Xenopus tropicalis: one gene and its partners. The protein of the gene in region 3 interacts with the protein of the main gene of each other region in a pairwise test. Links are inferred from orthologs where the notes say so. Each region holds a gene or a part of one and is shown on either strand. Other genes may lie near its edges.

What was found. The genes of interacting proteins can lie anywhere in the genome.
Region 1: the proteins of zfyve19 (region 3) and cchcr1 interact in binary tests that used the Homo sapiens proteins (3 or more experiments, as listed by UniProt). The link is inferred for Xenopus tropicalis from reciprocal best matches to the Homo sapiens genes ZFYVE19 and CCHCR1.
Region 2: the proteins of zfyve19 (region 3) and vps4b interact in binary tests that used the Homo sapiens proteins (3 or more experiments, as listed by UniProt). The two-hybrid records come from large-scale screens. The link is inferred for Xenopus tropicalis from reciprocal best matches to the Homo sapiens genes ZFYVE19 and VPS4B.

What each region holds. Positions count from the first base shown.
Region 1 is NC_030684.2:75,143,578-75,147,332, forward strand, and holds the start of cchcr1 (coiled-coil alpha-helical rod protein 1), read left to right. Parts: upstream 1-1,237; 5' UTR 1,238-1,618; intron 1,619-3,755. Other genes in the region: tcf19 (transcription factor 19), read right to left, coding at 268-550. UniProt on the Homo sapiens protein: May be a regulator of keratinocyte proliferation or differentiation.
Region 2 is NC_030682.2:85,893,125-85,896,879, reverse strand, and holds the start of vps4b (vacuolar protein sorting-associated protein 4B), read left to right. Parts: upstream 1-1,443; 5' UTR 1,444-1,593; coding exon 1,594-1,620; intron 1,621-3,755.
Region 3 is NC_030684.2:115,170,674-115,174,328, forward strand, and holds part of zfyve19 (abscission/NoCut checkpoint regulator), read left to right. Parts: intron 1-566; coding exon 567-681; intron 682-1,223; coding exon 1,224-1,430; intron 1,431-3,230; coding exon 3,231-3,307; intron 3,308-3,655. UniProt on the Homo sapiens protein: Key regulator of abscission step in cytokinesis: part of the cytokinesis checkpoint, a process required to delay abscission to prevent both premature resolution of intercellular chromosome bridges and accumulation of DNA damage.

The DNA of each region.
Region 1 (3,755 bases), about 40 Mb from region 3:
GCTTTACAGTTATGGCAGGGGAAATAAAAGCTTTGAGAATGAGAGCACTCTGTGGGCTTGTGAGCAGCGCTGTATGTTTCACAGGGTTACCAACACAGCTAAGTAGGGTGTGTGAGCATTGGCTTGGGATAACAAACATAAAGGGCGATAGGTGGAGTACAATGAGCCCAAAACAAAGAGAGCCTGGGCATACCTAAGAAATAGTTGTTCACCAGATAAGAGTGATGAAATCTCTACATATCCTGAACTATTTGGCTACAAACTTACCAAAGTGAGTGCAGCTTTCCAAGTTAACCTTCCAGTCTCCTGAGAGCTCCCGCTCTGCATGTATTTTTGCATGGACAGCAGGTTTTCCAGGGAGGGGGACATCACATAAATCATGCTGGGCTCCCAGTCGGTAGATGCAGCATGGCGAGTCTGGCAGGAAAGTATACAAATCTCTGGACGCTGTGCTATTTGCATTTATGCTTGACTGTCCTGGGCTTGAGCCCATGCGCAAAAGCTGGAAACAGGGCTGTACCTGTGTAAGCACAACTTCTGACCCTACCATGGCAGCCTGCCAATTTTCTGACCAACCCACCTTTTTCCCACTACCTTAATGGAGTCCCTTACCCACAATGAAATACTGTCCCTGCTAGTCTAAATATATAGATTTTATTTATAAGTTTAGGTGGAGCTCTTTGTCGCAGTGCAGCACACTAATACTTAATAGCAGCCCTAAACCTCGCACAGAAGAACCATCTCACCTAATTCTATCAGCAACACAATGCCCTTGTACAGAACAGAAACTAGACCGACTAAGGCTGCCTAACCTAACACTGCAGACCTCAATATAGTTTGCATCCCACACTATTACAGTAGATGTACTCTTCATGCACAAATCTCCCCCTAGCAATTACTTCCCATGGGAGTCGCAATATAGCGGGGGAGACTGAGTGCGTGACGTCACGGTTCCCACCGAGCCGCCGCTACCAGCTGAGCCCAACTCTGACCGGGACCACGGCGGGAAATCAGAGGAAGGAAGCGCGCCTTTGAAATTTGGCGCGTTATCGCCCATAGGTTGACACCCACCTCCTTGTAACCACGCCTACAAACGAACTGTCTGGCAAAAAAACACTGTACCTAGCCGACAACAGTTTTACTCACTTTATACTGATTGGTTAAGAGCTCTCCGCGCCTGTTTTTTTTTACCAGCCAAACTCTCGCGAAAGAGACTTCGTGTCTTCTATGATTGGCGGCTTAGTTTCCTCTGTGCTTATGATTGGATAGCAGCTACGCAAATATATCTTGCTTAACTTTATTGGAAACAAACAAATACGAACAGTGAGTGGGTAAAAGAAGGTTGCCAGGAGGAAGGATTTGTTGTAGTTCTGTTTGGAATGGTGTTAGTTATACGGCTGCAGTAGGATAGGGGATTGGTTCCCGGGCTTAAAGCCGCGAAATTTGTTGATCGCAGAAGGGAAAGCGTACAGAGGAATGTATTATAGTTCCATCACAGTCATGGGTCGGGTTGTTATTACCATGCTATCCATAGATGTATGCTCTTGAGTGGCGAGATTGTTATTAAGATCTGTTGGGAAATAGAGACTTCAAGCCTATATTCACTCAGTAGTAGCAGGTAAGCAAAACACAAATGTTTGCCAGTGACGCCAAGATTTTTTACATGAACTTATGTTTTAGAGTGGAAAATTCTGAGAAAATATGCAGGTCTTTTTATTTGTAAGTTTTGTATTTAGCAGCTGTCCAGTTTGAAATGTCGGCAGCAATATGGTTACTAGGCACCTGTTTACACTAGCCACCAGCAGTTGATTGAATGAGAGAGTGCAATATAAAAGAAAAGTACCTGAATAGAAGTGAAATCATTTAAAATAGGGCACACTAAGCCCCGCAACCAAAACTCTGTATTAAAGCTGAAAAGCGGCAGAAGAGAATTGTACATAATCCAAAAAATTGAAAGACTGGTTAAAAAGTTTCTAAGGATAGGCCATCCTATAACATAATACAGGTATGGGACCGGTTATTCAGTATGCTCAGGACCTGGGGTTTTCCGGATAAGGGATCTTTCTGTAATTTGGATCTCCATAACTTAAATCTGCTAAAAATAATTTAAGCATTGAATAAACCCAATAGGCTTGTTTTGCCTCCAATAAGGCTTAATTTTATCTTAGTTGGGATCAAGTACAAGGTACTATTTTCATTACTGAGAAAAAGAAAATAATTTTTTAGAATTATTTGCTTTTAATAGAGTCTATTGGAGATGGGCTTGCTGTAATTCAGAACTTTCTGGGTAAAAGGTTTCTGGATACGGGATCCCATACCTGTAATAGGTAAATTAAAGGAGAAGAAAAGCTAAAAATCACTGGGAGTGCCACGCATACGCAGCAGAGTGAAAAAGCTGGATTTTTTGTTAGTTCAGCTTTTTACTCTACTGCTTGTGCGCAAGCAGCAAGAAAAGAACGAGAATGGCTGGCTCACAGCTACCCCGGGCTGGTATGCTTTTCTCCTAACAGGAGCACCAGCCTGGGATAAAAAGTAAGCCATTACAGTCACTGGTGGGTGCCCCCTGGCACTCCCAGTGATTTTCCCTTTCTTCTGCTTTAAGCAACAAAATGATAAAAACACAAATTTAACAATTTTTAAATATATAAAGGTGACCTTTAAGGACAAGGAAAGCTAATTTCACCTAGGGTGCACCTCCCAGTGAATTCAGTCACCTATGGGTGTAGTTATTAACATTTGATACAGATGTCATCAGTGCATCAATGTCATCCGGTTGCTATGGGCAATATCACTGGTGATCAGGGTTGGACTGGTGGGTGCAGTGCCCACTGGGGCTCCTGCAGGTGCCCCAGCCAGTCGCGTCCCCTAACCCCCCTGCAGGGCCCCCACCTGACATCCTCCCTGAGCATGTATAAATTGAACGCGTCAGGGGAGGTACAGTCAGTAGGGGGAGCGCCGGATTTTTCCTGGTGTCCCAGTCCCAGTCCGACCCTGCTGGTAATGTTTGTCTCTGATGTTAATAAATACTCCCCGAGCCTGCACTCCTATGAAGGAAAAAAAAAAAAAAAGTAATTTCTAATGGAGTACTGTACTGCAGTGCCATTTTACTTCCCAAGCTCCCCTCTCGCAGATCTATATTTGGGCATTTGTAATTTATTAGAATAGGAAGAATGTTAGTTGATTTTGCATATGCATAGGGTCATACTGGGGGGTGCAGGGGCTACTGCCCAGGGGCCCTGCACCCCCCAAGGTACCTCCGCCGGCCACATCCCCTGCAGGGGCCCCCGCCGCACACCCCTAACCCTCCCCCACCTGACGTCATCCCCTGATTAAGCGTATGTACAATGCATCAGGGGAGGACATCGGTGGGCAGGGGAAGCAGAAACAGGATCGAGTCTGGGCCGCTGGGGCCCACCAAGTATTTTTCCAGTGTCCTGGCAGCCCAGTCCGACCCTGCATGTGCAGGTATAAGTCTAGCAATCCGAGGGAAAAACGTAGCAACTGGATTCACTGGAACAGTGAATTCACCCCTGGTGAATTTAGTTTTATTTGTTCTTTAAAGTTATACTTCATGTCATTTAATTAAATATGTAAAACATTGAAGGCAAAATATTTTCAGTATATTCTGAAAAATAGTTTCTTTTTTTCTAAAAGCCCTAAAGAAAAATCTTTTTAGCACCACCGTGTCCACTTCCACTCTAGGTTGCAGGATAGATCACATTTGTGCTGTCACAATTATTTTTTTTTTCTGGATC
Region 2 (3,755 bases), on a different chromosome or scaffold from region 3:
GTCTGACACTGCACTAGCCATTTTTCAAGTTCTACACCCCAGGGATCCATAGTGCAGTTCTCGTTACAAGCAGGGCAGGGCCATATTAAAATATAGGCACCCTATGGTGCCTATATAATAAAAAATAACCTCTCTAGCCGCTGCCAGATGATACTTGTGCAGATCTGGTGGTGGAGGGTGGAGTGGGGGGGTATAGTAGAGGGTGATGTCAGTTGGAAGTGCCGAGAAATTGGGGAGTGATAAGATCCAGTGCCTAGAGTGGCACAGGATCTAAATACAGCCCACCAGATAAGAATTAATATTTCCTTTTAAGAACAAACTAGTTCATACCCTATATTAAACAGGGGCACATATGCAAAACTGACAGGGGACAATAGGCAACAGTGCCTGTATGAAAGGGTACTCCCAGCTAACCTCCTGGTTGGAGCCAGAACTTGCTCCTACTATCTTAGCTTACTATCTCACTCTCCTAGAGGGTGATATTAAGGGGTTCTTCTATAATTGCTATTTCTCATTCATGGGGTCCCTTTCCCAGACTTCTCTAGAGATAAAATGGATTCTCTAGGGTAGGCTGGCTTTACTAGAGCCCTGTTGATTCCAGGCTCAGAGGAACTTCCACCTGAGTCAACAGATGCAGCAAAAGAGGAAGACACACCCCTTAGCTAAACACTAAATGAGAGTGCAAAGGGAGTGGTCAACCAAATAACCAATAAGGCAAAGGACAAACTAGATAGATGGGTCTTTGCCCAGTAACAGCAACTAAGAGGTTGTAGGGTTTAAAGCCATAGGGGCATATTAACCTTATGGGTCCCTACAATTCTATTCTATGAATTAAAAGAAACATGTTCCTATTTTTTGTTGTTACAAAAAACGAATGGGACATTGTTCTTTACCACAGTACCTACAATTTTAATGCTACTTTGTATTATTTAGCATTTCTATTCAGGATTTTTTCTATGAATTTCTTTGAATGAAGACCAGTTGCATATTGTCTTAGAATCCCACTACATTATACTTATATTTAATATATGGTCAACTACTCCTTTGTGGTGAATTTATTAGTTCGAGACCATAAACCTTAATAAGCCACGATGGCCAATATATCTTTTGACGGGACTGGAAATAACTTACTCACAAAGGTCAGGCTAAAGCCTATTCAGTGTTGTGTCAGTTCCCCGCAACCAACCTTTATCATTTAGAAACCAATAAAGTCAGGTGCCGGTGAGTCATAAGTACAATGACTACATTTGCTGCTGATCTGTCAGCAACCACCCTACTCCTTGCGCTTGCGCACCAGCATCCTTCGGTCGAAACCTACATCGTAAGTACCTAAATCAATCGAGGTGCGGCTTTAACGTCACGATAAACCTCTTCTGGGTAGATGATTGGTTGCTGTTTTCGTGACGTACCCGGAAGCATGTCCGTAATACGGAAGTGAGACGACTCCCGATCATTTTGAGTACCCGGAAGATCGAACGCTATCGGGGCTTTGGCGTTTAAACTTAGTTACCACGTATCCCGAAAGACGGAGGTGAACGAGGCAGGTTGATATATAGAAACGCCCGCGTTTTCCGGATGAAAACCATATAATCTATGGCTGCCAACGGGACAAATCTACAGGTAACAAGGGAAACGTAATATATTTTTGATGAGATCAAGTGTCATCTTGTTATATTTGGGGCGTGATATGTGTGGACAGTACAAGATGTTATTCCAAATATGACTTCAATACCCAGTACATGTGCGCACAGGTACATAAGGGACATATTGTAGTCGAACACTTTACATTGGTCATTTGTGTTGGTGAATTTCATCAGATGCACATGACTGACGTGACATTGATTTGCTTGTAATGTAATATATGTCATTATTATTTATTTGGGTTGTTCACCTGTAAGCTGATTTAAGTGGCTGCGGCTACACCTGTGTGTGAACCAAAACATTTGATCCCAAATTCACCAGATTGTTACTTGGATTAGAATGGAGCATTATATCCGACCTATCACATGGAGAGGAAACTACTTTTTGATATTTAACATGTTGTTAAGATACCTGAAGTCACTTAATTAAAACATTCTATGTGGGTTCTGTTTACCCTTGAAGTGAAAATATACACCCTTTTTTATCTAAGTGCATTCAGGGTGCAACCCCCAAAACGTTGATGTTGCACAGGAGGTCTCAATATATGGGTTAGGCTTCCCTACTGAATGTAAATTGAGTGTGTACAGGTCCTTATACATATTCCTATAACTGTAAAACTAAAGGGCATTGTGAAAGTCGTTGTTCAGCTTTGGGTTAACTTTTAGTATGATGTAAAGTGCTATTCTGAGACAATTTGCAGTTGGTCTTCATTTTTTATTACTGGTAGCTTTTGAATTATTTAACTTTTTTTTCCCCAATTTTTCCTGTTTCCCAGTTTGAAATTTCAGCATTTTTCTGGTTGCTAGGGTCCCTATTTAGCAATTAGGAAGTGGTTTGGGAGATTGATAAACATATGAATAGTAGAGGGGCTCAATAGAAAGATAAGTAATAAAAAGCAACCACAATAATAAAATTGTAGCCTCACAGAGCAATAGTTTTTTGGCTGCTGGGGTCAGTGACCCCCATTTGAAAGCTGGAAAGAGGAAGGTAAATAATTCAACTTGAAAACATACTTGAATTTACAAAATAAAAAATTGATAAATAAGCCCACTAGGGTTTTTTTAAGTTAGCTAATTACATTGCATACTGAACTTAGTGTATACACAATACCTTGCACTGGGTGGTTCATGTCCTGTACCAGACAAATACAGAAGCTGTAGAACTGTACATGTATAAGTGAAAAAGGTAAGTGGGGGCCACTGGCCATATGACACAGCAAATTAGCCCTATGAGAAAAATGAAACTTTTTTTTTTTTTTTTGTAAGATTACGTATAGTCAAGTAGCAGTACCACCTCAGTAGTTTCAGAAACGAATGAAAGTAAAGTACATGCAGGCATATAAGGGAATTTCTATTAGTAAACCAGTACTAAATGAGCACAGAAAATCACATCATAATGTTTGCCACTTATTCAATCAAAAGATAAATGTTGAGGTTGTCTTACCTCCTCTTGTCAGGCCATGTATGCTATAAAGTAAAATAAATCAAAAACGGATCTTTTTCATTTAGTTTAATAACTTAAACTAAACTCTTACCTGTGAGGCACATTCAAATGTAAAAAGAGTTGGAGAGCAACATAAGCATTAAAAATGTTCCTGGGGCTACAGTACACCTGGTTTTTATGCAACCAAAACTTGCCCAAAAGCCTCCTTTGGGGCCACTGGGAGCAACATCCAAGGGACTGGTGAGCAACATGTTGCTCATGAGCCACTGGTTAATAATCACTGGTCTATCCCCTTTTCCACCATGTAAATGTAGAGACTAACAGCAGTAAGAATCTAAGAATCTTCTGTAAGGACCTGGCATCTTTCAGTGCTACTGCGCATACCCTGTCCCTACATCATCAGCTGGCAGCATTGCCAGTTGTGAATGTGTGTGGCCGAGCATGCGCATAAAGCTGCTCTGTCCTTAAAAACTCAAAATTTAAAAATTTAAATAATGGTTCTTTGTTTTGCAATGAGTTTAATGGTATAAAAACTTCTGCTGCCTTTTGGGAATGTAAGAGACATATTTTTAGCCATTTTTTTCCTCCAAAGTCAGTTATCAGGTTTTAACTCCAGCGTGGTGGTTGGGATATTACAGCATTGTCACATAAAAAAGACACTTCATCGAAGT
Region 3 (3,655 bases):
AAAAAACATATTCATTTGTTTATTCAAGTACATGTCTCTTTAAATAATTATACTTAGGGGCTGATTTACTAAGACACGATTTCGAATCCGAATTGGAAAAATTCCGATTGGAAACGAACATTTTGTGACTTTTTCGTATTTTTTGCGATTTTTTCGGCGTCTTTACGATTTTTGCGTAAAAACACGATTTTTTTGGCGTCTTTACGATTTTTGCGCAAGTTTTAACGCTACGAAAAAATCACGACTTTGCGCAACTTTCGTAATGGCTACGAAAAACACGCGTTTTTACGCAAAAAATCGTAAAGACGCCGAAAAACTCGCGTTTTTACGCAAAAATCGTAAAGACGCCGAAAAACTCGCGTTTTTACGCAAAAATCGTAAAGACGCCGAAAAAATCGCAAAATTACCGATCATTACGAAAAAAACGCAATCGGACGCATTCGGCCCGTTCGTGGGTTAGTAAGTGTGCCCCTTTGTGTCAATAAACCTTTATAAGAAAAAAACATTGAGACGACATTGTTGCATTGGTACTTGGGATTGATACATTTTAACTACCTGTTTTCTAGGTTCACCAGCCACCTGACACCAGAACACAGGGCCAAAGGGCTGAGGACTTGCTGACTCAGCTGAACGAAGAGGTGGCCATTGATCAAAACTGTGAGGAAGCTCCTCAGTCACAAGGTAACTGACACCTACATTGTAACACTAGCAGCACTCACAGAAGAGGCTAAAGCTGTAACAGGTGTTTTTTTCTGTTAATATATTCTTATTATTCTTCTGTGAGGGGCAATAAAATATGTTCAATCTTCTGTGGTAGTTAAGTCAGCAAAATATTGATCTACTTGTTGATTAACTGCAATACACATTCATTGGCTCATGTCACAATTATCAGTAGTTGCCACTTGTTACTGGTCAATTTTGTAGGTAGGAAAATAGGTTTCAATGTTTCTTGTGGGATCGTAGTAGTCTACTTAACCCATGGAATACAAAGAACCTTATTTCTTGTTAGCTTTAATTAGCAGTTTATTAACTCCTTGTGTGACATAAGCCATATGGCATGATGAAACATGCTATTCACTAAATAGGACATTTTATTGCATTTACTGTAAGTCAGGTATGGCTTTAACTCTCAAATGTGTATGACTTGATATATGCTTTTTCTGGTAAGTACTTCTTTTACTTACCCATTTAGTACTTCTTTTTATTTCCCATTTAACCCTTAGACTTTAGTGCTGCACCTAAGAATGACCTAAATAGAGTAGATGGGAAGGACAGCTGGGCAGAAATGGATCCTGCACAACTTGAGGAAGAGAAGAACAAAATCCTGTCACAAGCTGCAGCAGAGCTAAAAGATGAGAACACAAGGGCAGAAAAGTTCTTGGAGACAGCCAAACGGCTGGCTGTGCTACAAGGCAAAGACCCAGACAAAGGTATATATATACTAACTAGACCAACTGCTGTTTGACACAGAATTCCTTATTGGCCAGTACCCACATTATAAGGATTTATGACTCGCATGATCCTAAATAGAAATGTCAGGCCAAAAATTGAAAAGAGTAAAGGCCCCCATACACGGGCCGATAGAAGTTACCGATATCGGTCCATTGGACCGACTCGGCAGCTTATCGGCCCGTGTAGGGGCAGAAACGAGGGGCCTGGCCGACCGATATCTGGCCTGAAATTGGCCAGATATCGATCTGCCAGGTTAGAAAATCCAGTCGGATCGGGGACCGCGTCGGCTCGTTGATGCGGTCCCCGAACCGACTGCCCCATGGCTGCAAATGTAATCCGATCGTTTGGCCCCAGGGCCAAACAATCGGATTATTTTTTTTTAAAGCTACTTTCTACCCGATATCGCCCACCCGTAGGTGGGGATATCGGGTGAAGATCCGCTCGCTTGGCGACATCGCCAAGCGAGCGAATCTGCCCATGTATGGCCAGCTTTAAGCTTTGAAAGACAAATGTATGGGCAGCACCATGGCTGCTGATCTCATCTATATGCTGACAGCTGTTTAAAAGGAAACCATAGTGAGAATAAAAAAAGGTTGTAGTGTTCCTTATTTGTTTCTTTACGGTCCTGCAACTTGGATAATAGGAAGGCATAAAGATTTTCATTTCACCATATTTTATTATTCTGATTTGATATTGGATAGATTTTGAAGTACTGAAGAGTTTTAATTGTACCGTAAACATCTAGGGTTGACAAAGGAAATTATTTGTGCCCAGGTTTGTTCTTAGGTTTTAAAAGCAATATTTTTCCATGTAATGGGTTTAAATATATGAATGAAATATATCTAGTCCAATGAATCCTTTTTTTTTTTTTTTTTTTTGTTACTGGCTGTTATCCTGCCAACCACCCCACTGGTGCGTGTATTTCCCAGTTCTGCTTTTTGCATGGCAACCTTTTGTTTCAGAATTAGTGACCTTATTATTCTTTGGGAGACTGTATTCAATTATGCCCAATGCTTGATAATACTGTAAAGATGATTTAAGGAAGTGTTACGTGCTGGCAATGAAACCCACAGGAGTGTGGTAGCAGCTATTCATTTTTGCATTTATCAGCTTTAGCCAAATAGATCCATCTTTAATTTGTCTCAGAGGGCATAGCTTATTTGATTGGGGTTTGCACAGTCAAAACCAATCCCAGAGAGGACTGAAAAAAAAGCATAACTAGAAATTGTTGGGTTGGCACGGTCCAGCTTATTATCATTAAAACGAACTGAGGGACAATTCTGAGCGTTTTGCCGGCCTCCCACCGAGCTGAAATGTTATAGAGGCAGAAAAACACTAGGATTTGCCGAAGACTTAAATTACACTATATCTTGATATAGAGAATTTATATCTTTTCTCTTTTCATTAAAACTACAGATACCAGGGAATGCTGGAAGTTGTAGTTTTAACACAGCTGGATTGCAGATTATCAAACAGTGCTTTATATTGGAATATTCCTAACCCTAGAAGTACTGTAAAGAGGAAAAACCTTATAAGAGAAAAAGGTGATGATGGTGAGGGCATAACTATAATAAAGACCTGACCATGCTGTTTATTAGTTGGTTAGTATCAAGCCCCAAAGAAAGGAGTTATTCCTATTATGTCTTATTCTCTGTGTAAAATGAATGAAGATACCACTTTATGGACTACTAGTGTACAAATACAACAGATTTTTGTTCTTCTGTATGTTTATACTACAAACTATATTCTGTCACTGCTACAATATGCTTTGTTTGCAGTTACTATAGACAGCTATAAACTGCCTGACAGCGATGAGGAAACTGAGGAGGAAGCCATACAGAGAGTGCTCAAGCAGGTTGGCTATATTATATTCATTTAGTGTGAACTGAATGTTATTGTGGTGGGTATGAGAACATTTACTTTAAGGAATACTGTCATAGGAAAACATGTTTTTTTTCCAAAAAAATTTTTCCATTTAATTTTGAAATTTCACATGGGGCTAGCCATATTCATTTTCCAGGGTGCCACAAACATGTGACCTGTGCTCTGATAAACTTCAGTCACACTTTACTGCTGAGAACAATTGGAAGGGAGCAAGATAGCAGCTCCCAGTAGGTATCAGAATAGCACTCAATAGTAAGAAATCCAAGTCCAGCTTGGGACTCCTCCAGTTACATGGGAGTAGGAGAAACAATAGGTTACC